Linked DNA regions of Mytilus edulis. The protein of the gene in region 1 purifies or fractionates together with the protein of each later gene. This does not show direct contact. Links are inferred from orthologs where the notes say so. Each region holds a gene or a part of one and is shown in the gene's direction. Other genes may lie near its edges.

Region 1 (7,853 bases):
TTTTTCACATATAATCTGATGACTCCAGTTAATGCTTGATTATATAATTACCTCCCTTAATACCTATCAACATACCTCGTCTATTTCACACATATATACTGAAGACACCTGTGGATGTTTAACAACCTCCCTCAGTACGCCCCCATCACCTCCACCAATTATCAAAACCTGAAAAGAAAATTTAAAATGATATACATTAAATTGAGAACATGGAGAATGGATGAATGCATGACATGTTACATTTTAGAACTTGAGATAAATTTCAATTTAAATACCTTTCAACATTTTTGTAAGAAAATTAGTATGCATATTATTTGCATACCTGTTTTTCATGTACCAATTTTTGATGATAACTGTGAACCACAAATTCAGATCTTTTTTTTTAAATTAAAAAAAAAAAAATTTATGCAAAAATCACTTAAAAGGGTGACTCTGAAATCACTTGTACATGTATAATAAGTACCCTTGAATGATAAAGTTTTCATATAAAACTTTGATGAAGGTTAAAGATTTTAGATTTTTACATGACTTGGTAAAGAGAACCTTCATGACCTTACATTAATTTAAATAATCATGTGCAAAGTCCACCTTCCCAAACTGTTGAGTATTCATGGTATTACATGTATTACCTTCAGATAAGTGGATCTCCCTTTCCCAAACTGTTGACAAGTAAGGATTATCTTAGAGTAATTGGGCTTCCCTTTCCCAAACTATTCTCTGGTAACGACTACCTTAGGATAACTGAATCTCCCTTCCCAAACTGTTCTCTTGTAAAGATTACCTTAGGGTAATAAGATCTCCCCTCTCCAACAAGTTGACTAGTAAAGATAACCTTAGAGTAATAGGATCTCCCCTTTCTACACTGTTCACTAGTAATGATCACTTTGAAGTAATAAGGTTTCTCCCTCCCAAACTGTTAACTGGTTAAAATTACCTTATGATAATTATCCCCTTTCTTAAACTGTTCACTGGAAAGGATAACTTAGGGTAATTAGATCTCCCCTTCCTAAACTGTTCACTGGTAAGGATAACCTACTAGTAATTTGATCTCCCCTTTGTACACTGTTCACTAGTAAAGATTACTTTAAAGTCATTGGATTTCTCCCTCCCAAACTGTTAACTGGTTAAGATTACCTTATGATAATTAGATATCCCCTTTCTAAAACTGTTCACTGGTAACGATAACCTTAGAGTAATTAGATCTCCCCTTCCTAAACTGTTCACTGGTAAAGATTACCTGAGGGTAATTGGATCTCCCCTTCCTAAACTGTTCACTGGTAAGGATAACCTAAGGGTAATTGGATCTCCCCTTTCTAAACTGTTCACTGGTAAAGATTACCTGAGGGTAATTGGATCTCCCCTTTCTAAACTGTTCACTGGTAAGGATAACCTAAGGGTTATTGGATCAGTATAACGTATCACCCTCTTTAAACTGTTCACTGGCAAGGGTAACATAGATTAATCATGGTAATAGGATCTCCCCTCCCTAAACTGTTTACTGGTAAGGATTACATAAGGGTAATTTGATCTCCCCTTTCTAAACTGTTCACTGGTAAGGATTACATTAGGGTAATTGAATCTCCCCTTTCTAAACTGTTCACTGGTAAGAATTACCTTAGGATAATTTGATCACCCTTTCTAAACTGTTCACTGATAAGGATTACCTTAGGGTAATTGGATCTCCCCTTTCTAAACTGTTCACTGGTACGGATAACCTTAGGGTAATTAGATCTCCCCTTTCTAAACTGTTCACTGGTAAGGATAACCTTAGGGTAATTAGATCTCCCCTTTCTAAACTGTTCACTGATAAGGATTACCTTAGGGTAATTGGGTCTCCCTTTCTAAACTGTTCACTGGTAAGGATAACCTTAGGGTAATTAGATCTCCCCTTTCTAAACTGTTCACTGGTAAGGATAACCTTAGGGTAATTAGATCTCCCCTTTCTAAACTGTTTACTGGTAAGGATTACATTAGGGTAATTGTATCTCCCCTTTCTAAACTGTTCACTGGTAAGAATTACCTTAGGGTAATTGGATCTCCCTTTTCTAAACTGTTCACTGATAAGGATTACCTTAGGGTAATTGGATCTCCCCTTCCTAAATTGTTCACTGATAAGGACTACCTTAGGGTATTGGATCTCCCCTTCCTAAACTGTTCACTGGTAAGGATTACCTTAGGGTAATTGGATCTCCCCTTCCCAAACTGTTCACTGGTAAGGATTACCTTAGGGGTAATTAGATCTCCCCTTCTCAAACTGTTCACTGGTAAGAATTACCTTAGGTTGATTAGATCTCCCCTTCTCAAACTGTTCACTGATAGAGATAACATTAGGGTAATTAGATCTCCCCTTCCTAAACTGTTCACTGGTAAGGATTAACATAGAATAATAGGATCTCCCCTTCCTAAACTGTTCACTGGTAAGGATTACCTTAGGTTGATTGGATCTCCCCTTCTCAAACTGTTCACTGATAGAGATAACATTAGGGTAATTAGATCTCACCTTCCTAAACTGTTCACTGATAAGGACTACCTTGGAGTAATTGGATTTCCCCTTTCTAAACTGTTCACTGATAAGGATTAACATAGAGTAATAGGATCTCCCCTTCCTAAACTGTTCACTGATAAGGACTACCTTGGAGTAGATGGATCTCCCCTTCCTAAACTGTTCACTGGTAAGGATTAACATAGAATGATAGGATCTCCCCTTCCTAAACTGTTCACTCATAAGGACTACCTTGGAGTAATTGGATCTCCCCTTCCTAAACTGTTCACTGGTAAGGATTAACATAGAGTAATAGGATCTCCTCTTCCTAAAAGGTTCTTTGGTAAGGATTACCTAAGGGTTATTAGATCTCCCCTTTCCAAACAGTTCACTTGAAAGGATTAACTTAATGTAATTGGATATCCCCTCCCTAAACTGTTCACTGGTAAGAATTACCTTAAGATAGTTTGATCTCCCCTTCCCAAACTGTTCACTGGTAAAGATTACCTTCAAGTTATTGGATCTCCCCTTCCTTTTAAACTGTTCACTGGTAAGGATTACATGTACCTTAGGGTAATTGGATCTCCCCTTTAAAACTGTTCTATTTGCAAACCTTTTGAGGGTTAGGATGAGAATTCAGTGGTAAATGTGCCAACATTTCTTGATATGAAAATTCATCTCTTTCTGTGCACTGTATTACACCATCTAACACCAAAACATTACCATAAGTTTTACTGAAATAGACAACACTGACATATAATATTTACTGAGTGAAAGAGGGAACCCTTTGACATGTAATATTAACTGAAATAGGGATCACTGACAAATAGTATTTACTGAACATGCTGAAATAGCACTGACATATAAGTTTAACTTTATTAGCACTGATATTTATATATCATTATATAAGTTTTCTTAAATAGCACTGCCATATAATTTAAACTTAAATAGCACTGACATATATATAATTTAAACTTAAATAGCACTGACATATAATTTAAACTTAAATAGTACTGACATATAAGTTTAACTTAAATAGCACTGAATATATAATTTAAACTTAAATGGCACTGACATACATGACATATATATAATTTAAACTTAAATAGCACTGACATATATATAATTTAAACTTAAGTAGCACTGACATATAATTTAAACTTAAATAGTACTGACATATAATTTAAACATTTAAACTTAAATTAATAGCACTGACATATATATAATTTAAACTTAAATAGCACTGACATATAAGCTTAAATCAAATAGCACTGACAATTAAGTTTTAACTTGCAAATGTAAATACCACTGACATATAAGTTTAACTTAAATAAGATTCAAGATTCAAAGTTTTATTTAGAGTCGATATTCAATAAACTACATAACACAAGCTCTAGTGAGCTTTAAAATAGCACTGACATATAATTAAAATTTAAATAGCACTGACATATGTATAAGTTGTTTTGATCTGTTTATCATGTTTATTTGAATAGGTACATGTCCCATGATAGGGTTTCAGGTTAAGGTTAATTATAATTTCACAATTCTGCTTTTATGAAAAATATATATTTTGCTTAAAACCAATAAAACTTGTAAAATAAGAATATTTGAACACCTTTTTTGTTCACATTTTTTCTTCTCAAAATTAGCAAAAAAATATTAGGCTAATGATAAGCTGAATGATTATGCCCTTTAACTTTATTATATATCTAAATATATACACGATTGTTATACATGTTATACTTGTTGTACTAAAAATTGGAAAACATTCATCAAAACCTAGATGTTCTTATTAAAAACTTTGAAAAAGCAAATAATTCTTTACAGCTAAATTCTAAGTAACATTGTATCTTCTTTTATCTTTTAATTTTAGCATTGACTGAAAATGCATCATATAAGATAAAATAACAGTTTGGACACGTGTGTTGTTTATACAGTGAGAGATATAAAATTTTACCTTTTAAATACAATTAAATCCTGATATTTAGATTTTTCATGAAACAACAATTCTTCCACTTGGAGTGACATGCACTGTCCTGGCCATAGTTCACTTAATTCACTAAACCACCCGTCTTTAATTAAATCCATTGGTAATCAGCTGATGAACCGAAAAACGGAAACTGTTAACTTCGGGTGTTCTCTTGGATTTACCAGGTAGACGTAAAAATCAGAGGATTCCAGAAAATGGCCTCCTCAGACGAACCCTTGCCAAAATTCCATGAAAGGGTTGGATCGCTTGTCCAACTGAGTAATGAGAACAGGACAGCACAGAGAAACCATCCCGCCCAAGAGTTCAATAATGGTGTCGCTATTAGCAGAGACCCATTAAAGGAAGACCAATTATTTGAAGTCAAAATAGACAAAAAGGTTGTCCATGTCTCAGCATGTCTTATATTTTTTCTTACTTTGTCAGCGTTTCCCCAGTCCCTTAAACCAATATCAGCCTTAAAATGGTGCGATATGTCTGTGCTAACATTTTAACCAAAACCGTCTGTGCATACCCATAAACATTTGAGTGAAGGGTTGACATGTATGTATGTACTTCGAGATTCCGATAATTTAAACGCACCCCTTGATTGACTGCAAGGGTACAGTGGATCCATGTTCACTCCCTAAGGTTTAATGGAGATGTGTCCTTTACAATATTATCCCACCACCAGAACAATCTCCACCCAACACTGCCCAAGGGAGCGTGTAGGACACAGAGAAGTCTGTTATTATGGTGGAGGAAGCCGAAGTACTTGGAGAGAACCACCGGGCCACTCGGTGGAAACAGACAAACCAGAGAGATATCAGAAGATTGATCTCCAGGTCAAAGTAGGGGACAACTTTGACCAACCTAGGCCCCCAAAGTACTCATTCTAGTTTAAACTCCGGTCTGGGTACCGGAGATGTGTGTGAGAGGGTGAAAATTACCCTTCTGATGTACTGATATTTTTAGCACCCCGAGTGAGAATCGAACTCGGGACCTTTAGCACTGTAGCCATCGGTCTTAACCACTAGACCACGAACTCACATAATGTACATGGTCCAAATCTATACTATTATAAAACAAGAAGACCTCATTTTGTGTGTCGCTTCTCTTCCTTCCACGATAAATTAATCATCATGCCTCTGTGTTCTATATGTAACATGCATAGTCGCATTTGTCATTCATTCTTATGATTATTCAGATTGTGTTATTTTTGGAGAAAAACGAAAAAAAAGGAGTCCGAATATTGATTACGTCATCAGACTGACTTTTAGTCATAGATCAACTTCCGGTTTGAAACACGCACAAGTACAACCAATCGTATGATAGATAACAAAAATGAAAAAATAAATAAGCCAATCAGAGCGTTCTCCATATCATGGTGTTTAGGTCGCCAGAACCACTACTATTATACCTCCTTAGAGAGGACAATTATTTTTTGCGTTTATCTACATGTAAACTACGATTATAATACTTTAATATATAGAGACTCTCTGTATTCTGTCTGCAGTTTTCTTTGAAATATATTACTATTTTTAAAAGGAGTCATACCAGTTGAATATATATTAAAATAAGTAAAACATGTGGAAACAAGAATGTGTCCATAGTACACGGATGCCACATCGGCACTATATTTACTAAGTTTCGAGTTGATTGGACTTCAACTTCATCAAAAACTTCCTCGACCAAAAACTTTAACCTGACGCGGGATCATGAGACGGAAGGATGAACGAACAAACGCACAGACTAGAAAACATAATGCCCATAAATGGGTCATAAAAATTTATTGTTGGAAGTGAAAGTAATGATTTGGCAAAAATGAAAGTAGGGTAGAGATTAGAGGGAGGCAGGACCTTTTTTGGGACGTCGGGGTCGTGTGTTTTAAGCCCGGGATTTGGGGATCGTTTCTTACGGGATCCGGGAATATATTTTTCGATTTCGGGATATGAATTTCTTTAAATTCTGCATCTCAGGATTTCATGTTTTTAAGCCCTGGATTTCGGGATCAGGACCCCTCCGACCACCCTCAAATTGGCCTTAGTCGGTCTTAGTTATTTATACAAGATTCATATCCTACCATTGGCATGTTAACAAGGCTCTCAAAAGAAAAAGCACTTATGGATTGTCCTAGAAGCATATTTTATTAGACTAATAATGGTCTTTATATAAGCAGTTACATTTATTTCATGTTTGAAGTGGTGCAAATTTTTAATTTAATTTGACTATTACCAAAAGATGCATTGTAGCAAAGGAGAAGAATAATTGTGGTCTGAGGCACGAAACACGAAAATAATTGAATTTAACAGAAAGGAAACAAATAATCGGACTTTGGAAAAAGGGAGAGGGCTTTTGATACCTTTTATGAAATTCTCCATACATACATGTAATGTCTCTTACAAAAAATCACCCTACAGCAGTTCACAAGCTGTATATGCACGCGATTTCGTGGGTGTGTTCTAGTATTTATGATGTCTGGCAAGGCAATTTTACTTTTTTCTGTGTTGCCTCCCTGCGTCCCAGAAAAAAATTTAAAATAGCCTTGCCAGACATCGTAATTATTTGGACTACCATATACAGAACATGATCTTCCAGTATCAGTCTTTCACTGAAAAAGATTGTCAATTGAAGACGTCATTTACCAGATAGAAGGCGCGCCTGTATCCCTGCTCTACTAATTAAGAGTGTCCAATACTTTCAGAATCGTCATTCCATACGGTAGCACATGTACCTCAATATTTTATGTTCCGTAAGTATGGAAATTATCTTGATTCCCATACGTCTGGGTGACCATTCTTATTAGATTTAAATTTTCCAAATATTTTGTGCAGTCTAAAATCAAACTTTTTCCTCTGTTTGTTCAACTCGGGCTGGAGGTAACGATGCCTAGGTTTTCATGTTTATGGTCACATGGTGATGGAAGTCATATATGACAGATTCAACTAAAAAAGGTATCTGGAACTGCAAACATGTACATTTGTATATGGTCATAGGCCACTTCAAGTTTGATGTATCATACCTGCTAATCCTCACGTTTTGAGCGGGAGACTCCCCCTTAAATGCCAAAATTCGGGAAATCTCCCGCTTGCCGGTACCCTCCTGTACAGGAGTACAGAATCTACCGTTTTGAATATTTTAACCTTGAATGACAAGTTAACATTAATTACGTTTGAGGGTTGTTTTTACCTGTAAATCACAGACAATGTGTAATTAAATGGCTTCACTTGGCAACTTGGGTGTCAAACATAGTACTAATTAAGGATCATTAACGACTTTTCAATGCTTCAAGCTTTCAAAACACTTCAAAGAAATTTCGGGTTACTTCCCCAGTTTAAACCTGTTTTTTAAGTTTCCCTTCTAAAAATAATGTGAATTGATAAAACAATATGAATTAAATACAAA
Region 2 (7,781 bases), on another chromosome or scaffold:
TTTATGTATTACATTATTTTTTTTTTTCGTTCATTTTTTTTTTTATATGAATAAGGCCGTTAGTTTTCTCGTTTGAATTGTTTTACATTGTCATATCGGGGCCTTTTATAGCCGACTATGCGGTATGATGGGCTTTGTTCATTGTTGAAGGCCGTACGATGACCTATAGTTGGTAATGTCTCTTGTGGACAGTTGTCTCATTGGCAATTATACCACATCTTCTTTTTTTTCTAATATTATATCAATAATAAAAAAGTAAAAAGTGTAAATCATCCATATCGGATCCTGTGGAGTATAGCATAATATGTATAGCAAATGCTTAGTTATATACACCGTAAGAAATGTAAAAATTCACACTCTTCAGCCAGAAAAGAGTAGAATAAGACAGACAGACAGACAGAATATTTTATTATAGTGTCACATACCAATACTGAACAATATCATACATAATAATATAAGTATAAAAATACAAATAAGAATTTAAATCGAAGTTAAAATATCGGTATCCAGCCATGACTGACTTATGAGACACTTTTGCTTTAAAACTTATTCTAACATTCATTTACAAATGAATAAATAAAACTTTTACATCACATTTAAAAAAAAAAACATTCCGTTATACACAATATTTTCTGCGGTTAAACATAAAATATAAAGATTTTGCTAAAAAGGGTTGTATACAGTCATGTGACATCAGAAAGATAAATTTGTCATCATGACTAAAATCGTAAAAATTTGGGTTAATTGCACTTGCTTTCATAAAAAGATCATATCGCAGATCTGAATAAAATTCACAATGCATTAAAAAATGTTAATAAGAAAAATCATTTAGAACAAGAGAAAAGTAAAAAAAGAACATATTTAAAAAAGGAACAGTGACTAATCAATTATAACAAAAGACACACTCTTTTGAAACTGTGACATGACCCAAGTACGTGTATGACTAGAATACGGGGTCGTGACAGTTAACAGAAACAAAGGAGGAATACCAAATAAAACATAACATACAAATTATGATACATTACCATTGCTTTTATTTCGTATCATCATTCTATAGTCACAGTCATGCCTTCAATTGCAAATGTTTTCCAGGCATTCATATACTCAGTACAGCATTATAATTTGAATGTAACAAGATTTTTTTTCCGCTGTGCAATATGTTGCAAAGGTACTTATTTTCCGATTCTTTTCTGCGAAAATAGGTTCGAGCGGAACTTGTTCATTGATTTTTTTGGGGATGATAAGTACATGTTTGTTTAAAACTAATATCACAGGAACTTATTTAACTTTTAAACTCTTAATATTAATTCGAACAATTTTGTTCCGGAACCTATTTCACATTCAGTCATAAAATTAGTTTCGGAACAAATTTTACAGTGCTGGAACATTATTTTCTGTGAAATTAATTCCGGTGGAACATATATTTCCTTTGAAATTAGTCCCGTTGAACAAATATCACACCGAAACATTTTTTTTTGTTACACATGTTCCATAGAATCACAAATTAATAATATCAATGACTAGTTTTAATGTTATTTGAAGTTTGTTAGTTGCAGCAAGGATTTGTATATCCTTGGTTGCAGATGTAATAGTTAACTCATAGCCAGAAATTAGTAGTGGTTTTGCTAATTAATATTCATAATATGTAAATGAGAATTGTACCACGTGATAGTAGTTTGAACAGACTGGCTTGATATATCATTAAAATCTTTAAAACACGGATATTATAAGTTGCCCGTCACAGAGTCCTTATTTACAATCACTTTGATATTTCCGTAAAATTGTCAGGCGGTCAAAATCAAAACAATGAACGCGAATTTAGTGAATTTTTCGTGCTTTCGTGAGTTTATACTTCTTGAAATAGAGACATTTTAATTTTACGTGGGAACCTAGAGTTCAACGACTACACATACAAGGTTTGGACTTGCTTATTCTTTGGAAATTCAAGTTTCAAAATTCACCCCGGCAACCTGTTTTTGTAATGACCTTGTAAGCCAATTTTCAACACGAAGTTTGCAAATTTGACGTTTCAGCCATTTTAGCCTGTATTTTACACTGCAATGTTAAAAGCCTCTCGCTTCGATTTTTAAAATAGCTCAGGAACCTGTATTTTTGCAACAACAGTCATTATGTTTCGTTTAAATGGTGTATATTGTTGTGTATATTCATTTTCTGCCCCGGCAACCTGTCTATCACTTAAATTAAAATTAAAACAGACATTTTTTTCAAAATTCCCTATCATTTTAATGTAATTTACGTGACCCGTATCCGATTTTTTTAGTATAATATTCAAATAAGCAAAGTGGCGTTGAGATTCTGGATATGTATACTCTTTCTAATGGAATATTAAATTGACTTGAATTATCACGCCCTACTGCTCAAGCAACCTACGATCAATCAATTTGATGAGAGTTTAGCGGTCAATATTTCAAGTGTCATCGGAAAAAGGCTCGCATCATCATTGTAAGTTGGTACATTTTTGTAGACTGACATATGTACTCATTCCCCGAAAAATCGAGGCTTCTCTCTACTTGTTCTGATTAATATCCATCATTTGGCAATTTTAAAAGCTGCCAATTTCGAAAACAACTCTATACACTTTTAAAACTGTGCAATGATACTTTTTCCATAAACATCCGTCCGGATCTATATGCCATGCATAATCGGTCACTGAACACATGAATTCTTTGGACATTTTCAACTATAAATACAAAAACAAGGCTGTAAAATTATCGGCTTGCATGCCGAGTATTAAATTCCGTTTAAAGAATAGAAAACAAACAAACAGAAAATGCAATGCTAACTGTGTACTTTGTAAGTGAAATGGATGTCTTTGATCATTGATTTGCTAGTGTGCAAATCCTTGCTATTGTAACGGAGGGGGTCGGTGACGACACCTTCCGGGACGTGTAGCGGCCAGTACTTCGCCCCTATTCGACCATTGGGATACCTGATATCAGATTATGGCTGAACAACAAACAATGATCAAACGAAACTATATTTTATTCACATATGTACAATAATTGCATGTATTAAACAAAGTCGGATATAAACAGGAGTCAGAAAACTTTCTAAACTGAAGTTTCAAAGGTAAAATGAAATTGAAGTGTTCTCAGAGTTAGTATTAAAAGTAAAGTAAATTTGCTTCGCGTTGTGTTTTTAAAGTAGTGAGATTTGCACCATAAAGGGGTGACTAACTGTGGCGAACTGCACCGAAGTAGTGGCTAACTCTTAACTCAAGTGAACTGATACAGTCCGGCGAGTATTTGGAGGCCTGTGCAAGGTCGACTCCGACTGAATATCAAATGATATTCTAAACTTGTCATTAAACAGGGTAACTTTAACTGAAACGGTACTGAAGAAAAGTTGAATAAATAAATATTCATAAAACATTATAAAAACATCGAAAGTTAAATACTAAAACAGTTAAATTAACAATCCTTACTTTTATCTTACTGTGTTTAAATAAAATTAAACTTAAAATAAACATTTAAATACTAAATAATTAATCTGTCCAAATTAAGGGGAATTAACCTAGACACATCAAGGCACATCTATTACATTATAAGTATTTTATCAAGTTGGCTGGTGACTTTTTCAAAATGTGACATATCATTTTTTTATTTTAAATCTGAGATAATTCCTTTGAAAAATAAAAAAATTAATTAGCATTTTTATTTGGTCCTGCCATTGCCGTTGTTGGTCCTGTCATTATCAGAGTTGGTCATGTCACGTTTTCTAAAGTTTCTTACATTTAAAAAAAAAAAAAAAAAAAATTTTTTTTCTTAAATCTATATATGAAATGATAAAATCTTATTATATTTCAAATTTGAGATCTAAACTTTTAAGAAATGAAAAAGTTATTAACATTTTTCATTTGGTCTTGTCATTCGGTCCAGTCATTAGTGTAACCCAAATTTTCTGATCGTTTTAAAACGTGTTTAATGCAAATTATGAAAACACAAACTTTTATTCTCTAATTATTCTTGTTTTCTGAAATCTTGCACACGAAAAAAGTCCCCAAACCCGTGGGCCAAAAGTAAAATCACAAAAATACTGAACTTAGCGGGAAATCAATTCGGAATGTCCATAATCACATGACAAAATCAAATAACAAAACGCATCAAAAATGAATGGACAAGAACTGTCACATTCCTGACTTGGTACAGGCATTTTCAAATGTAGAAAATGGTGCATTCCATTGTCGTTTTGATTTTTCCCTTAATCTTAGATATTATTTCCACGTTTTGCTTTTCTTTTATTTAATAATGTCAAAATCAAGGGACGTTATCAATGAAAATTGTAGCCTGGATCGTTACTCCTATTTGTAAAGTGAGGTCGGATACCAGACGAAATTAGCGTTCGGTACTCCTCGGTAGATTATGAATGAATGCACATGTATTTACCGATGAATACCGAATGGTTGATCGAAAGAAGTTTTGGAAGTTATTTTTCTTATGTTTCATATCTGAATCGATATTCCAATGAATATTATGAATAAGTCTAGCAGCATGACATTAGGTAATATGAACATCAATGCTATGAAGTCAAACTCACATCCAGTTTCTTTTTATGAGCCGCAACGCAGAAAAGAAAATAAAAAGGGGGAGGGTGTTCCATGACACAGGTGCTTGTTTTTGTAAAACATATTCACTATTGATATTGTAAGGTTTTATAATTATAGAAACAAGTTCCTATCGTCTATGTCTAGAGTAATGAATCTTTATGTCGCAAATATGTCCTAAGAATCTGGAAATTTTGTTAAATACAAAAGGATGGACTATTAGTCTTAATTATGACGTCTGGCAAGGCTATGTAGATTAAAATTGAAAAGTCATGAACAACTATAGATGTATTTACACAATTTGTTGACCATTAGGTTTTCCATCAACCTATTCCCCATAATTTAAAACATACATTAACATGATTAAGCCTATTACGCTATTTAAAGATTGATTAAACCGCTTATGGGTCTCATTAATTAGCGACAAGAAGACTATTTAGGGACAAGAAAACATTTTTTTTTTAGTAGATATAAAGAAATTTGTATTTAATGGTGTTTTTTTTTTAATATACGAGCAGATATGTCTAATTAAAATGTTTTATTATATAGATAGACGAAGAAATTAAACATTTGTGAGGAAGAAAGAGATTGTGAAGTTTATATTAATAAATTGGTAGATGAAGAAATTAAACATTTGTGAAGAAGAAAGAGATTGAGCTTCTTTTTTTATGTTTAAATATAAAGAATATGTAGAAGATAATGTATTTATCTGTTTTCAGCAAAGTCAAAGTATGAATATGAATGGAGATATATATGGAGCGGGCATAATAAAATATAATATTTTGATTCATTTGCTTAATGATATGCTCTAACTGTAATCTTGTTATGTCAATGCGATGCTTTATTTGTAGAACTCTCAGCCACACTTTGCCATCTTTATTATTTAAGCGTGTTTCCAGACCCCACGACGAGGACCTGGTTCTACCTTGGGTTCCATATTTTTTTTTCTTCTTAATTTCTTTTTAGTCATAATATAGTAAATATGTACATTCATCATGTTCATATCTAACATAATATTTATACAAAAGTACTCATTCTCTTAAACCGAGTCTGGTATCTCAGTATGAGAAACATTTTCATTTACCAGCACATTTAAAATCTGATCAGTTGATAAAAACTTGCCATCTAAAGTTTTTTTAATTATAATTTCATTTTGAATATTTGAATCAGTTGATTCATTTGATTCATTTGTCTCGAGCGTGCAATATATGCTGTCTACCTTAAAGGCTTTACATCAGTATAAGAGTTATCTAATTCTACATGACATGTGTCACTGCGTTTATTGCCTTGATAAACTGAATCGAAAGATTCATCTTGAGACTTAACAGTGGTATCAAAAATTGTTGGACACACATTTGATTCATTTCTTGTGCTATCTAAAGTAGGAAAGTTATGCATACTGTCTATATCAATAACAGAATTATTGTGGCTAGCTTTAACTAGCGGCACAAAGTGATCTGGAGTCCATATCAGACTGCGCCCATGACCAGAACTGGTCCATAGTATAATTTTAATTAAAAAAAATATGTTTTCTTTTCGCTAAATAGTTTCTTGTCCCTTCTTGTCGATAATTAGTGAGACCGCCTCAAAGAACTGTTATAATAAAAAAAAAAGCAATGTTTTCAAAACTTTTGACCAAGTACCAAACAATTGATCTGGAGAAACATGAACATACACTTGTTCATTCAGATAAATACCCCATTGCTAAATGTGGAGATGGCCTCAGGGGCATTTTTATGGGGCTTTAGAATCATAAATGGTCAATCAAGTGAAATGAACGAAAAGTGCTGTATTTCATTGTATTTTGAGTTTATGACTTGAAATTGAAATCTGGCAATTTTTTTTTACAAAATGAAATGATGAAAATAAAAGATCTTTTACAGAAGATTATGAATGGCAGCCTCCAACTGATGCTGAAAGGAAAGTTATTCAAGCACGAAGAGAACGCTCTGATAAGATTAGTAGCATAATGGGTGAATACCTCCTTAAAGGTTACAAAATGCTTGGTTCAACTTGCCAATTTTGTGAGGTAAAAAAATTTAAGATACAGTACAAGCACACACAAGGTGATTCAGTTAAAAAAAAATAGTCTTTATGGTGTCAGGGGATGTTTGTGCAATGGGAGGGGGAGAGAAACTGATGATTTATTGATACCACTCTGATGAATAATTACTCATAGAGTGAATTACCAACAATCACAAGCACTGGCTGTGAAATTTGATCATCATCATAGAAACTGGCAATCACCTTATGTGTACTGGAAAAAAATCCCCTCCCCCCTAAAAAAAAATCCCATAAAATTTGTAAAATTATTCAGTCTTTCAAACTTATATAAATTTTTTTAGTGATGAATGAACAAAACAATATACAGTCATGTTAATTAAATGGAAAACATGTCATCTTTGTTACCATTTACATATCTACTTACAACTACCATTCTTCATATACTTTGGTAATATTGAAATTGAGTAACATCATTACCCAAACAGATTTTTTTAACTCGTGAACATTGACATCTTTGCATAAGCTAATTATAACATGTTGCAATACGTGTGTATTGTTTTGGGTAAAGCTGTTGCTTAATCTTAAAACTGACACAATTAATTAAAGATAAGATTTTGAAATCAGACAATTTTTACAGCTTTTGCATTTTGTTCTATAAATAAGTTTTATTAAAGACGTATTTTAGCAAATATTTAAGAGAATTTCTGGTGCATAGTTGCAGTTATCAGACTATGTGTTTTGCAAGGTTGTTTGAAGGGTGTTATTCAATAATAGATTTTTTTTTCGAATTGAAAGGATGAAATTGTTGCCTTATCATACGTTTTCCTTTTTTGCTTTAAATTCAGGGCTCAACAAACTAGAAGAAATGGAAGACATTTTTTACTCTGACCAACTACATGTAAGTTTTTGTAAGCCTGGTCAGAAGGAAAAGTTGTATGATAAGGCCAAATAAAATTTAATTCCTTTTTATTTGCTTGCATTAACAATGATTAATGTTTTGGCATAAATTTAGATAAGAAATTTTTTTAGCAGACAAACATTTGAATAGTGTATTTTCATAATCACCTACATATAACATGTATAAAGACCCCTGAGTTCAAACTTTTTTGACAGATTACCTTTCTGTGGTAGTACATCCTGGAACGTGGTCAAGTAAGTGCAACTTAAATAAGTAAAATCAAGCATTTAGGGAGAAAATTGTCTGTTTAATGTT
Region 3 (7,489 bases), on another chromosome or scaffold:
CATCTTCTTATATCTAATTAATACATGAATTCAGATCAATATGTTCCTCCATCATGTCAATTAGTTGACCCACTCAGTCTCAATAACTAGTTTCTTGTCTGGATTTAGCTCATGAAATTTTCAATTAACACATGTAAGTTCTTCAACATATTTTTAGGTTTTGGTATTCAAATATATTGGCCTGTCTTGCTCCACAATAGATACATTGTAGAAATGTGCATCCGTCCCAATAAAATTGGTACCTTTAAATGTGATTACCCAGATCTTTCTTTAAATATTGTTGTTTCCTCATTATTGAAATCTAAACCTCATAGATTTTTGAGGTGCTGAAATTTGATTGTTCCCCATCTATTAGACTATTTTGATACTCTTGATATCTTAATCACTCAGTTTTCAGCTTCTTCCTAATAGTTCTTATATCAAGTTTATACTAAAAAAGATATACTTGAAGTGATATTGATCTAGAACATATTGTTATAATGGTCTAACTGTTTTAACACTGTAAGTTTGAACCCATCTTTATAGAACATGATAGAACCAAACCTCTTAGCTTATCACAGTAAATGTTATATAACATTTTTACTTTTATTATAAGAGGTTGTTCTTTGGTCAGTTTTGTTTCTGTTAACAAACTCTTGGTCAGCAATAACAACAGCACAAGCAGGAATTCAAACTCCATTTTCCTGCAACAATACAAATATGTAAAATATAAATAAGTGACTCAATGTGGCTTGTGTAGGTTCATATTATGTCAGGTGTGAGTAAAATGTGTAGAATGTTGAGATATAAAGTATAAACACATAAATTAGAATACATAAAGCCTAGAACAAACTGCCAGATAGAAATTAACAAAACACCCTCTATAAAATTATATATAATGCCTTTCAAAATTGTCAAGTTCAATATTGGTCTAATGAAGAGATAAATTATAAGAGCAGAAATATCTGGGAGTCACAGACAAAACTGTAAGCAAAATAATTCAAATCAGAGTCTGGTGAAGAGAACCTGTCACCAAGAGCCAATGCACGTCGAGTTTAAGGGGGACTATCGAACATGCACAGCCCAAGGCACAGTGGGTCAGTCTTTCGCAAGACTTAAGCAATAGCAGGCAAAACTATAAAGCAAGCAGCAAGTTGTAACAATTTTATATAGTAACTGGTCCAAATAATAATAATGATGCCGAAACAATTTACGAATAAATAAAGTTCAAATGTTCCAAATAATAAAGTCACTAATTTCACTAATCCAATTCACAGTTTAAAGTTAAAGTCCAAAATGTTCCAAATATATAAAGTTGATGTTGTCTGGTTGAACGATTACAGTTGTTTTGAGCTGTCTTTTGAGTTAGCGTTTCTCCTGAGTAGCTGAGCCTGGTTGGCTTTGGAAGCACTCCTATCTGAATAACACCGACGAGACTACACTGACGAACAACTGTTCGACTCCGATATTTAAGGCGAATCCTGAAAACTACTCATAAAATGACAGACATTGATAATTTTGATAATTGAGATAATTTGAGTATTAATAATATTGTTTACAATGTCCAAAGGTGAAATATGAATAATGTCAATTAGAGAGATACAAGTTCATTACATTTATAATCCTAATTAAAACATAATATAGCTCAGATTAATTAATGACAATTGACAAGATACCAAAGTGTTGCTCAGAGCAATTATTTACAAGTGACATGTTTCACAAAATTTACCTGATTAATTAAATTCAAATTTGTAATAAAATATTTCATAATTTCATATTTTCTAAAATAATATATTTTCTCAATAAAATTCATTTTAAAAACTTTTACCTAAAAGAACACCTATGACAGATCATTAGGGATTCTATACTAGAAAATCATACTGTCTAACAATTATGTGTGAACACCTCCCCTAGTCCTAGCTTACAGTCATTATTGCTAATAACAAATACAATATTTGTTTATTTTCGGAATGTAAAACATTAAAGACCCATTGTTGGCCTTCGGCTGTTGTCTGCTCTATGGTCGGGTTGTTGTCGCTTTGACATATTCCCAATTTCCTTTCTCAATTTTATTTTATATGCATAAATTTTAATTCAAATGTGTGAGAAAGGAGATGCTGTCCAAGTTTTCTACATTTTCGCAGCGAGAACAAAGTTTTCTACATTTTCGTAGCAAGAAATAATACATGATATATTTTCCTAAAATGTACAAACTAGTGATTTAGCATACAATCTATAATTTACTAATTTACGCTTGAAAGCATGCACCTTTATTTTACAGATGTTTCTTTTTCAGAAAATCCACAATATTTCAACCATGGGGAAGGCAAAGTTATTTATAAAACAACAATTATCGTAAAAATAAATTTAGCTGTTTGCTTTCAATAAAAGCAGGATACAGGATATATATGTGTATACTATTTTGTATCTATAAAGTAAACTGCAGATACAAGTCCTCCTTCAAGCAACTGAAGAAAAAAAAACCACACATTTGCTTCAGCTGACAAGGCACGGTTAGGTTTAGATTAATAAAGTCATGAACACTTGCTTTCTGACTGCTTGGTTTTATATAAGTTGAAATAAGTGATAAACCAAGCAGTCGGAAAGCAAGTGTCTATGACTTTCTTAATCTTATTTACACCTAACCCTGCTTTGTCAGCTTAAGCAAATGTGTGGGTGTTTTTTCAGTTGCTTAAATGAGGACTTGAAATATTTCGTCCAGCATGTACTTTTATGGTTTGTATAAAAAACTGTTAACGTGATAATACAATTACGTTTCATACGTCTATACTTTCATCGCACTTAAGAGTATGGAGCATCGGCCTTTAGTGCAGCCACAATCACCCTTTAGCGGGACCATCATACTTTAGCGCCCCCATCACACTTTAAGATAAAGGATACTACAGATACAGTTAAGTCAGCTTCATATCTTGACTTACATCTAGAAATTGACAATGAGGGTCGGTTGAAAACAAAACTTTACGACAAAAGAGATGATTTCAGCTTTCCAATTGTGAACTTTCCATTTCTAAGTAGCAACATTCCAGCAGCACCTGCATACAGGGTATATATCTCCCAATTGATACGATATTCCCGTGCTTGCATTTCCTATCATGATTTTCTTGATAGAGGGTTACTGCTCACAAGGAAGCTATTAAAACAAGAGTTCCAAATAGTGAAGTTGAAATCATCCCTTCGTAAATTTTACGGACGCCATCACGAGTTGGTTGACCGTTATGGAATAACCGTTTCACAAATGATATCGGATACGTTCCTTACGTCGTAACTACAATTCCCTTCCCTTTCATGAATATGACCTACCGAATTAGACTATTTACCAGATTTGTAATCACATAAGCAACACGACGGGTGCCATATGTGGAGCAGGATCTGCTTACCCTTCCGGAGCACCTGAGATCACCCCTAGTTTTTGGTGGGGTTCGTGTTGTTTATTCTTTAGTTTTCTATGTTGTGTCATGTGTACTATTGTTTTTCTGTTTGTCTTTTTCATTTTTAGCCATGGCGTTGTCAGTTTGTTTTAGATTTATGAGTTTGACTGTCCCTTTGGTATCTTTCGTCCCTCTTTTAAGAGTCCTACAAACATTATTGTAGCTATTTGATTGGTTATTTTGTGGATTAAATCATTATGAAATCAAAAAAGGGTTGGTTTAAGTTAGGCTACTATTTTCAGTTTCAGCAAAACAGAAAGAGGACCAATCTAAGAAATTAGTTAGCCATCACTAACAGGCAACTACAATCTACTTGCTAAGTAGAGGGTAACTTTCTGCGTCTTTTCTACATTCATACAATGAACTCTGTTTTACACTATGATTTTTGTGACTAAGCTTAAAAAGGTTAGATAGTTAAGCTTATTTTAGCATTTTTTAAAACTCGTGCCATTACTCACTCAAATCAAACATTTTTTTCCAAAACGAATTAAATAGCTCATATTAAAATTGATTAAACATAAACGTTGTTAGTACTCAATGAAGTGATAAAATTCTATTCTATCATATTTGACAATTTATGGTAAGATAAAGAATATAAAAAAAATCAATATAGTTTGACAACTTTCTAAATTCGTTTTGTTATTTTGCAAATTGCTCGCGACGAATACTACAGCCTTACCAATTTACTCGACACTAACTATGTTTACATAAAAAATGGCGGACATTCTTCAAACTTCAAAATGTCATAGTTAAAAGTTGCCTAGCGAGTTTCAAGTGTAGCTGATTCCATAATACTGGACGCAATTAAAACCTTTTTAAAGTTTTCTTAAACTGAACACTAAACAAAAGGTATTTGCATCACACAGAATGATGTGTAAATTGGTTTTGTAACAGCAGCAAGATCAAACTTGTTTATTTTAATAATGACGTGATTTACTTTACATTGTTTACTACTGTTGAATACATCTTTATGGTCAATTGAAATAAAACCACATGTACCTTCAGTAAACTGAACACTCCCATAAAAGTACAGTTACCCTTTAAAGACAAAAAAACCTAATAAATTTCCACTTATAAAAGTTATACAGTGGAGTCCACGGTGTCTGTACGGCCCGTAATATCGAGCATTAGCTGATTATGTCACCAGGGATCTCCATGGCTTGTTTAACGATGGTGCCCCACCATTGTTCAAATGTCTTCTGCCATCGTTCAAAACTTCATCGTTTTTTGTAGCCCAACGCCATTTTTTTTATCAATTAAAATCAAATGCATGTAATTGCATAACCCTTAGGCTTTTTATGTTATAATCCAATACAGTTCTAACGCCTCAGGGATATCCGGATTAAGATCGCTAATCACTTGTACCTGAGCTTGTACAGGTAGATCAACAAACCAGACAGGAGAATACTATCTGAGGATAGACGATCCATTTGTCGAATTAATCAACTCAGTTTCAGCAAATGATTATAATAATTTAGAGTAAATAAATAAATAATCCAGTTACAAAGAAAACAGTTTAACAAGTCGAACACATGCTTTATTTTGACTTACGCAATCAGCATCCCCCTTTTTTAAGAAGTACAAAATAAGACGCAAAACAGTAAATATTATTTCATCGCAAATAACTTGAGTACTGCTGTAACGATAATTAAGAATTACTTTAAAAGTTTAAAAGTAAAAACTTAAATTTTTACTGTAAAGAAATATCGTATCGTAATTCCGAATTCATTTCGTATATTACAATCAAATTGATACATTCGTGTTTCCGGTTTCTATTCAGACTCTAAAGATGCATGTTGCACAGCATCAATTTGTCAGATAAAGTCATTAAAAACCTTTTCATTTGTCAACGTTTGCTTTACAAATCTCTTTAACCTTTTACATAACCCGTACGAATCGTTTGTTGTTGCTTCAAATCAGCCATACTGGTAATGGGTTCTTAATTTGAGAGTGTCCATGAAAAATAAGCTCCACATCATATGATTTTAACCCCCATAACAATTACCAAAAATACAAGAAATCTACATGGGGACCTTCATAACAGCTTTTGTCATTCTCAACTAAGAAGGGACCATGAAGACTTGGCATTTAAATGGTTAAAAACGACAATAAATGAAAATATTGATACTTCTAATTCTATAATGAAAATTCAAATAAATATAATTTAAACAAGCAATGAATTAGCATGTTCACCATTCCTTGTATGGAGGGATAAAATACTTCCGATTGCGCTACACTGTACAGCGTAGACACGGTTTGTAATGGTGAAAGTTCCTCCATCATTCAATTTTCATCCATGGAGATCCCTGTACACAAATTAAAATCGTTCTTGTAATTGTTTTAGCCTTTCGAAGGGATGAAAAAGAATAAAATTGATAAGTTCAAGTTAATTAATAAAGTTCTGCAATCCCGTGATTTGCTATATTTGACCAATTTCCATTAAAAAAAACATCATCAGATAAAATTTGTTTTATTTAAGTCATTAAGTCAAACTAATGTCAGATTGAAATAATCTTTGCTCTGCATCCTTGGCAGTGTATTTGGTTCAAACTCAGCTATATTTCGTAGTATAAAATCTTTCCTTTATTTAAAATAAGCTATTTTTGGAAGGCATGCACGAAATCACCGGTTATTGGAGAAACTCTCAGTGCAGGGGTTTCCCTAATTTTGGACACACATTACACAAAATCGACAGGATTAAACTATACAAACAAAGATTTTATGAAATAAAAGAATGTTATGAATTTGTTCACACAATATTATCCAATTATTGGTTTGATCAGTTGAATGAAGTAAAGTCATAAGTCTTAAGTGCGCGGATACATTTGGCCCAGCTGCATTGTACATGTAACTGTTATAAGGGAGTCTGATCCCGGATCCTGCTTATTGTTTAATGAGAATCCTGCTTCTCGTTGCCATATTAGCACATGTTATTTCCCATGTCACGACAGACCGTGTGCTCCTTCTTTGGAGGATTATAAACAGTTTAAGTAGAGGATGTAAATATGATCAACAATCAAAAAATGAGGGCAGTCAATGCCAAATCTGAATTTGCTATTTATTTCATGGAAAACAAGTTATGGTTTTCAACTTTCTGTCATAACGTTTTCTCCATGAAACTAAGTACTGTAAACATTGCAAATTGTGCCCAAGTTGTCATATGCACATTTCTTCACAGATAATTGCTGACTGACCGATTCTATTTGAATGAATTAATGTTGATGATCATTAATGTCCTATCCGATAAACGGATTACCTCTAATCTTCTAATTCTATAATGAAAATTCAAATAAATATAATTTAAACAAGCAATGAATTAGCATGTTCACCATTCCTTGTATGGAGGGATAAAATACTTCCGATTGCGCTACACTGTACAGCGTAGACACGGTTTGTAATGGTGAAAGTTCCTCCATCATTCAATTTTCATCCATGGAGATCCCTGTACACAAATTAAAATCGTTCTTGTAATTGTTTTAGCCTTTCGAAGGGATGAAAAAGAATAAAATTGATAAGTTCAAGTTAATTAATAAAGTTCTGCAATCCCGTGATTTGCTATATTTGACCAATTTCCATTAAAAAAAACATCATCAGATAAAATTTGTTTTATTTAAGTCATTAAGTCAAACTAATGTCAGATTGAAATAATCTTTGCTCTGCATCCTTGGCAGTGTATTTGGTTCAAACTCAGCTATATTTCGTAGTATAAAATCTTTCCTTTATTTAAAATAAGCTATTTTTGGAAGGCATGCACGAAATCACCGGTTATTGGAGAAACTCTCAGTGCAGGGGTTTCCCTAATTTTGGACACACATTACACAAAATCGACAGGATTAAACTATACAAACAAAGATTTTATGAAATAAAAGAATGTTATGAATTTGTTCACACAATATTATCCAATTATTGGTTTGATCAGTTGAATGAAGTAAAGTCATAAGTCTTAAGTGCGCGGATACATTTGGCCCAGCTGCATTGTACATGTAACTTTTATAAGGGAGTCTGATCCCGGATCCTGCTTATTGTTTAATGAGAATCCTGCTTCTCGTTGCCATATTAGC
Region 4 (7,891 bases), on another chromosome or scaffold:
CGCCCGCCCGACCGCCCACTGTACATCCCCAAATCAATAACCGACATTTTTGACACAAAAATCCGGTTAAAAAGCGATAAACAGTTTATCATTGGTCATCTCAACTCGATTGCTTTTCTCGCTTTCGCTGTAACATAATCTATAAAAAGTCTACACACTCGAAGCTCAATTTTTATTATTTTTTTAGGCTATAGATATGCATTTTTACAAACCTGGGCTGCCAGGCCTGTGGTCCAGTGTGAAGACTGGTTTAATGTTTTGACAATTTTACAAAAGGAATGAATCCAAACAGTGAGTAAGTTAATGGTCAATTATCTTTGCAAAAACTTAGAATTTATGCAATTTCAAGAAATTCTGTGTATGGTAAATTATCATGTAATGTCAGAGATAATACCATTGTCCTATGGAATAAATGCAGTGTCAGAAGTGCAAACCTGAGCCTTGTATCCCAAACTCTGTCTAACCAACAATATGGCAGACAAAGAGTCATTGGGTCAGACAGAAATTTTCAGATATTTTTTATTGAAAACATAGTCAAAAAAATTTTAATTTCTTTTTCGGTCAGACAAACCATAAAACAGTTTGGTACAGCAGTATTCATTTTCATCTTAGTCTTCTCTAAAGCGCTCATGTGTAATAATTAATACAGACATTTACAGCTGATTTCCTAATGCTTGCAAAGTAAAACATTGGTTGGCTTGCATGCTTTGTTTGTATAATTGTTTATACAAGCTTCGTAAATAAGATTGACATCTTTAAACAATTTATATAGGCATAGTTTAACCTGTATATATCATATTTGAATTTAATTTGGTGTTATCCTAATGATTGTACAATATACAAACAAAGTAAGCAAGCTAACCAAAGTTTTGTTCTACATGCATTAGGAAATTAGCTGTAAGTGTTCCGAGAAGAATGAGTATAGAAATATGACTATCACCATGGACAGCATCATCTTTAGCATTATCTGTTACTTTGATGGTAGGTCAATTGATGTGGAATATTGATCCAAAAGTAAAATCTTTCTATTTTTATTTAATTTCAATTACAATCAAGTTTGACATTGAATCATGTGAGTTTTTTATATATTTCTCATTGTTGAAGGATGTACAGTTGTCTATAATTGTTTACATCCACTTTATTTGATCTTAGGTGGAAAATGGTGGACAGTTGTTTCATTGGCAATGAGCATACCTCATCTCCTTCATTGTCCTTATTCTTAGCTTTGATGCTTTAATACATTAATCACTGCAAAAGGAAATCCATGATATGTTTTATTAATTTTGTATAAATTTGCATTGTGTAATAGATCAAAATTATTCTTTCAGTGTATGTTCACTTGTTTTTGTTAATCTGTCTTTTGATTGAGTTGATATTTCATAGTGTGTGTTTCTATGTTGTGATGTTACACTATGGTTTCAGGTTGGGTGAAGGTAGGCAACTATGCAACATTCAAACCCTGCTGCATTTATTTGGACCTGTCCTAAGTCAGGAACCTGATGTTCAGTGGTTGTCATTTGCTGATGTGGTTCATAAGTGTTTCTGGTTTATTATATAAATTAGACCATTGGTTTACCTGTTTGAATTATTTTACATAACTCAAATCTATTTGGGGCTCTTTATCATACATGTATTTTTAGCTTGCTGTTCAGTGTAAGTCAAGGCCAAATTTGACTTATAGTTGTTTCCTTTTAACACATTGTGAATTGGATAAAAAATTGTCTCATTGGCACTCATATTACATTTTCTTATTTTTATGTTTATCCTAAACATTGTTACATGTAAACATGGTAAAGGGAAACATACCATTGATACTGGTCTGCGATATTTCTTTTTTTGGTTGTTTGCTGGCAACACCATTTTTCCATCCATCGTCCTTGACATTGTTTTCAGAGCTACCGCCATTTGTCCATTTAGCTTTGTTTTGTTCTACATTTCCACGACCTCTGCCCCTGCCGCCTCCTTTCAGATAAACAGGAACTCCAGACATTTTCTATTTTACTTTAGTAACACTGAAATAAAGTCAATGTAAGTGAAACATAGAATTTTTTTTACATATATATATAGCCATTAAACTCAATATCAAATCAAATAATAAAGGAACAACCTAACAGTGTGAATAGATTTCACAGTCAGAGCTCAGACATAAATAAGTCTGAATCTGCTTTTGACTCATAGAGGTCTAAATTTGTAATTTTTAGGATTTATATTTACTGCAAAAGGCTATAAATTCAGTATATATAACGTACCTGAACCTTTGAACAGCATGAAAAGTGTAAAGACAATATGTCCCAGCCTTACCAACCTAGGTTTGCATGCAGTTTGGTAAACACACAAAATCAAATATCAACAAATACTGTAAATTTAGAAATTATTGGGTGCACTTATAATTGCAATCTTGTCATTCATTGTCATTTAAGACTTAAATACGATTTTTATCTTTGCGATATTGAGAAAAATCCTGTTTAATTCATTTAAAAAAATTTAAAATGCAAGTTTTAATCATTGCGATTATAACCCTGTTGCATTTTCGCAATAAAAAAAATTTGTGTTATTATAGGACCTTCTATATTTATTGTTTTAATCGTAACAACCCTGCAGGGGCTAGCTGAAGGAAGCCTCCAGGTGCAGGAATTTCTCGCTGCATTGAGACCTTTTGGTGACCTTCTGCTGTTGTCTGTTCTATGGTCGGGTTGTTGATTCCTTGACACATTCCCCATTTCCATTCTCAATTTTATAGGCCAGGTATCCACTTTAAAACTTTCAGAAAACTACTGGCAGAAGATTTACCAGGCATTATTTCACTTGGGTTTAATTTTTCATATTTTAAATATAAACATGTTTTTTTAAAAGAAAAGGTGTACATGCATATGTAGTGTAATATTTATATGGTTTAATGACATAATTCTATTTGTGAAATGTACTTAAATTGTATATACATTGATATATGGTATACATAAATGCCTCTGGTGCTGTCACGCTAGTGAATATTTTGTTGCAATATTGGGTCTCAAAGTTGACAGCAAAATTCTCTCAAAAGTTGTGTTTGGTCTAGATGTCAAAGCTAAAAATGAATACCTTTTCAAGACATCATTATCAATGATTATTATTTGGGCTAGAGCTAGCTTTTAAACCATATCTCATATGTCCTTATGACATGTATGATTATTTATGACAAATTGTATACAATAGATGGCACCCTGTAAATTGTCAAAAGAATCATGAGAATATTATAAAGACCTCAGAGATACAGTTTAGCAGCTAGAGTGAAGCACCCTAAATGTGTGTTTGCAGAAGAGTATTAGTAAACACACACACACACACACACAAATCTATTGGGAAATATATATATTTTTATAACAAACATAACCAGATAACATTTAACATGTTTAAAATATATAGTACAGCAATACATGTACATGTACCAATAAATAATTATATGCAAAAAGTTAAATTTGCTTTCTGTCAGTCCTTAATAGTCCAAATGATTATGACATCTTTAACCAAGAGTTCCAAATGGTGAAGTAAATATTACTGGTGCCATCACAAGTTGGTTCACCATTATGAAATATCAGTTTCACAGATGATATATATCTGAAAAAATATCGGATATGTTCCTTATGTCATAATATAAACCTGTTCCCTTTTTACGAATGTGACCAACCGATTTCATGTTAATTATTAGAAATCCAGTAAATAGTCTAAATCGGTTGGTCACATTCGTAAAAAGGGAACAATTGAACAACACTGTGGAGCAGGATCTGCTTACCCTTCCAGAGCACATGAGATAACCCTCAGTATTTGGTATGGTTTGTGTTGCTCAATTTATTGTTTTCTATGTTGTGTCTGGTATACTGTTGTTTGTCTGTTTGTCTTGAAATTTTTAAGCCATGGCATTGTCAGTGTATTTTTGTATTTTTGATCTATAGATGAGTTTGACTGTCCCTTTGGTCTTTCGCCTCTCTTTTGAAAGGCCATTTCATTTTATTTTGCTTTTGTGTCTTATGTCACTGAAAGGTGTAAAAAAACACACATGTAATAGCCTTGTGAGACGTTATCATTATTTGGTCTATGTCACAGTGGCGGATCCAGTTGGGGTTCCGGGGGTGCGCACCCCCCCTTTATTTTTGCCGATCAATGCATTTGTATCGGGAAATATGTTTTGCACCCCCCCTTTGCCCTGGGTTAGCACGCCCCCTTTCGAAAATTACTGCATCCGCCCCTGTGTCAGAACTGTGCTCTGACTGTCTGCCACACAGTCTGGCACTGAGTGGCAAAATAAATAAAGTTTCACGAATTGTGCCTACTGCAGTTTTTTATATGTCATAAATGGGTAATTATATAACACTGGGGTTGAATTGAATATTTTGCACTGTTTGCATTGTCACTTACTCTGACATATTGTTAATATACATATATAATTCATTAAAATTTGACAGACTTTCGTCTTCGTGGGCATGAAGTTGTATAAATTCAAAGTCAAACCGGAAAAGAATCGTGGTTCCGAATTTAAAATAGTTGAAACAGGGAACCTGTCCATTATAATTTAAACATTAATGTAATATAGAACAAGTGGAATGTAGTTTATTATATATAACTCTATAAAAATGTATTTATATATAATTTTGAAAATTGTTATGATTATTCATTCACAATAAATTATTAATCTCGCCTCAACGAGAAAACAAAAATGGCGAATTCTAGAAATTGAGAAAAATATTTGACCTTTCAAAACACATTTATTCATTATTGGGTGACTGAATGGACGAAATAAGAAGGGGAGATTAAAAATTCGTATGAGTAATAACGAGAAAACCGAAGATCAGAGCGGAACAAAAGCCGCCAGGTTGGTCTTTGAAGCTCCAAACTGTCAAAATTTGATAGACCAGGTTGACAACCAGAAAATCAAACCGAAAGTTAAGGAAATCCTGACTACGCAATACGCCATTTGTTTTACTAATAAATAAATACACAAGTTCCTCAAAAATTGAAATAACATGGAATGAGTGGTTGACACATTTGACAATGAATCCAAACAAAAAACCAAACAACACCAAGTAAACTTATTTTTTTTGTCATGCAAAATTCCACATTTGGATCTGTTGTTTGTTGAAAGAATTAAGATACAAAATGTATTTGAAAGTTGTAACACATGTCAGTAATATTGCTGACGGTGTTGGTGGTTTCAGTCATGCTCCACTGACATGACTGAGGCCATGTAAACAAGTTGCACTTTTATAAAATTTATATGTAACCCTCTTGCTGCCAGTTGTTTTTCAGGGTTGCATTTCTGACACATGCCAGAAAATATGATCGCTCGAAGTTAATGTGACGTGACATGCCAAACAATGGTTATTAGATATATGATGTCATGCCGTAATGACTGTATTAACATTTGATTGTAGAAACACTTTTTAATTTTCGGTCTTTTATTTTGAAAGAGGTACAGCAATGATGAGAAGCTTGCATACATTAAAACATGGACATATGTGTCCCACCGTCAGCAATACTGTACACCTTATCGCTAATCCCGGCTGACCCGGCCGCTTGAACTTTTGACGCATACAACAATCACTTTTCAATTGTCAGTCAGGGGACTTACTGAAATAAGTGATTTGTAAATCACTTATTTACTGAAATAAGTGATTTATAAATCACTTATTTATAAAGTAGCAAATTCAAAATTTTGTCATAAATTGTGATTTTGTAGTTTTACTAAAATTTTAAACACATAGGTTTAGATAATATGTTTTCATTAGTAAAATTGAAAAAAAAAACTTTTGCTTCTTTAAAGTAGCAAGGTTTATGCCTTTGATGCTATCATTTAGCTGTAAATTCTATTTTATTGGAAAAAATGCTATAATAATGGCTTAACTTAATGAACTGATACTTTATTAACAGATTTTTCCCAGCAGTGGGAGTATTTTTCCTGTAAAGTTCAAGGTTTCATCTTTCAGATTATGTAATAAAATTCTACTGTTCGCGATAAAAATTTCACTGTTCGAGGTTGTTGAAAGTAGTGGGGGTTATTAGAATAATGATACTTAAAGAAGTGATTTTTTGGAAGGAAATTGAGGTATGATACTTAAACAAGTGATTTTTATGTCATTATCCCAGATTCAGTACAAGGTCATCATCTGACATGACCTGGTCATCCTAAACAACACAGATGTTGGTTCTGATAAGTTTAGAAACATAATTAGTCCCTGGATCATTAATATTCTATATTTAAAACTACAATAAAATTAAATCACTTATTCTAGTGATAAATTTGTACTACTTAAATAGGTGATTATTAAAGAAAGACAACTCTTACTTTCAACCTCTATGAACATAATGTTACTTGAATCAGTGATTTAGAAAATCACTCATTTAAGTAAGTCCCCTGACTGATTGTGGTGTCAGATATTTTTTTTTGTGACGTCAAAATTTTACGGAAACATGTGATATACAGTAATGGCAGACAAATAGCAATAAGGTGTATAGGGTTAAAGAGCCTTTGTCATGTTTGTTGTTTACAGTTGGTTTGATAAGGCTCTAAAATGGCCCTCTTTTCCCCTTAAATTTCAAATTATGAATTTATTGACCAATATATCAACAAGATAATAGTGTAATTTTGAGAATTTCATATAAAAAAATGCCCAAAATTAGCAAATTTTAATCATTGTTAATTGTTTACAAAGAAAAATAATAAGATGAGGCAGGCATTACCTGTGAATGGGGACGAATTCTGTATGATTTAAAAAAAAATCAAACATGTTAAAAAGAGAAACGGAAATATCGTTTCCGATTTTGGTTCTGTTGTAAGGGATTTTAGTTGTGACGTTTTTTAAGTCATGACGTCATATTCAATGTAATCAAAGAAATGCTGTCAGCAGGTAATTTTTTTTTTTTTTTATAACAAACAATTTTTAAAAACGAATTAGTATTAATATAAGTTCCTTTCTTAGACATGTTAGACTGATTAATATACATTTTATTCAAAGTCTCATGCAAACAAGACCGGAAACGGAAGTAGATTTCTTCGCAAATCTGGAAATTCAAAACACAAGAAATTTTTTTTTGAATGATTTTGAGTTCATTAGGTACAATGAAAAATTCGGGAAATTTTCCCGATTTTAAAAAAAAAATTTTTTATTGAATTTTCTACTGTAATGGGGGACTTTGTCCCCATATTAAACATTTGTGTCAAAAGATGAACAAACTGTGAACATGGTGTACATGTAAGTGAATAAAATGAAGAAAAAAAATAAATACAGACAATATTTAATATGAAGGGCCACTTGTGTCATAATAGGCAGGCAAGCCATCATCTCGGGTAGATTCTGTCAAGGCAGCTGGAAGGGATAAGACAACTTAAACATTGTTAAAACATATTTGATCTTGTACCATTCAATTTAATAATCACAGCCAAATACAGCCCTTGCTGAACTTACTTCTTTTAATATTTACCTACATTTTCTTATTCTTATCTTCATGATCATATACCATGTATACATGTATATGTTTAGAAAGATTTTGTTACCTCAATCTGTTTTATTCACAACAATGATAGTTTTTATACGACCGCAAAAATTTAAAATTTTTCTCTTATATTTGAGTGTGAATTCACATTACTACATGTACTATAAGACGTATCAGGGTACTTATCTATCCCAAATTCATGTAATTGGTTTTGATGTTATATTTGTTATTCTAATAGGATTTTGTCTAATGCTTAGTCCGTTTCTGTGTGTTTTACATTTTAATGTTGTGTCCTTGTTTTCCTCTTATATTTAATGCGTTTACCTCAGTTTTAGTTTGTTACCCCGATTTTGTTTTTTTGTCCATGGATTTATGAGTTTTGAACAGCGGTATACTACTGTTGCCTTTATCATGTTTATAGGCATTA

The links.
Region 2: the proteins of neuralized-like protein 4 (region 1) and protein ZNRD2-like purify together in Homo sapiens (co-immunoprecipitation; 4 studies listed by BioGRID and IntAct, with this or other methods). This does not show direct contact. The link is inferred for Mytilus edulis from reciprocal best matches to the Homo sapiens genes NEURL4 and ZNRD2.
Region 3: the proteins of neuralized-like protein 4 (region 1) and centrosomal protein of 290 kDa-like purify together in Homo sapiens (affinity purification with mass spectrometry; 3 studies listed by BioGRID and IntAct, with this or other methods). This does not show direct contact. The link is inferred for Mytilus edulis from reciprocal best matches to the Homo sapiens genes NEURL4 and CEP290.
Region 4: the proteins of neuralized-like protein 4 (region 1) and ubiquitin-protein ligase E3A-like purify together in Homo sapiens (affinity purification with mass spectrometry; 3 studies listed by BioGRID and IntAct, with this or other methods). This does not show direct contact. The link is inferred for Mytilus edulis from reciprocal best matches to the Homo sapiens genes NEURL4 and UBE3A.

Annotation. Positions count from the first base shown.
Region 1 is NC_092356.1:70,055,277-70,063,129, forward strand, and holds the start of neuralized-like protein 4, read left to right. Parts: upstream 1-4,630; 5' UTR 4,631-4,666; coding exon 4,667-4,849; intron 4,850-7,853. Other genes in the region: spermidine synthase-like, read right to left, coding at 76-168, 3,096-3,216, 4,440-4,570. UniProt on the Homo sapiens protein: Promotes CCP110 ubiquitination and proteasome-dependent degradation. By counteracting accumulation of CP110, maintains normal centriolar homeostasis and preventing formation of ectopic microtubular organizing centers.
Region 2 is NC_092346.1:30,325,113-30,332,893, reverse strand, and holds the start of protein ZNRD2-like, read left to right. Parts: upstream 1-4,364; 5' UTR 4,365-4,484; coding exon 4,485-4,521; intron 4,522-6,447; coding exon 6,448-6,593; intron 6,594-7,413; exon of another isoform or gene 7,414-7,433; coding exon of another isoform or gene 7,434-7,466; intron 7,467-7,781. UniProt on the Homo sapiens protein: Might play a role in mitosis. Antigenic molecule. Could be a centromere-associated protein. May induce anti-centromere antibodies.
Region 3 is NC_092353.1:4,362,958-4,370,446, reverse strand, and holds the start of centrosomal protein of 290 kDa-like, read left to right. Parts: upstream 1-4,095; 5' UTR 4,096-4,277; intron 4,278-7,489. Other genes in the region: uncharacterized protein, read right to left, coding at 584-679. UniProt on the Homo sapiens protein: Involved in early and late steps in cilia formation. Its association with CCP110 is required for inhibition of primary cilia formation by CCP110.
Region 4 is NC_092351.1:84,601,733-84,609,623, forward strand, and holds the start of ubiquitin-protein ligase E3A-like, read left to right. Parts: upstream 1-4,664; 5' UTR 4,665-4,796; coding exon 4,797-4,846; intron 4,847-7,891. Other genes in the region: NF-X1-type zinc finger protein NFXL1-like, read right to left, coding at 1,807-1,990. UniProt on the Homo sapiens protein: E3 ubiquitin-protein ligase which accepts ubiquitin from an E2 ubiquitin-conjugating enzyme in the form of a thioester and transfers it to its substrates.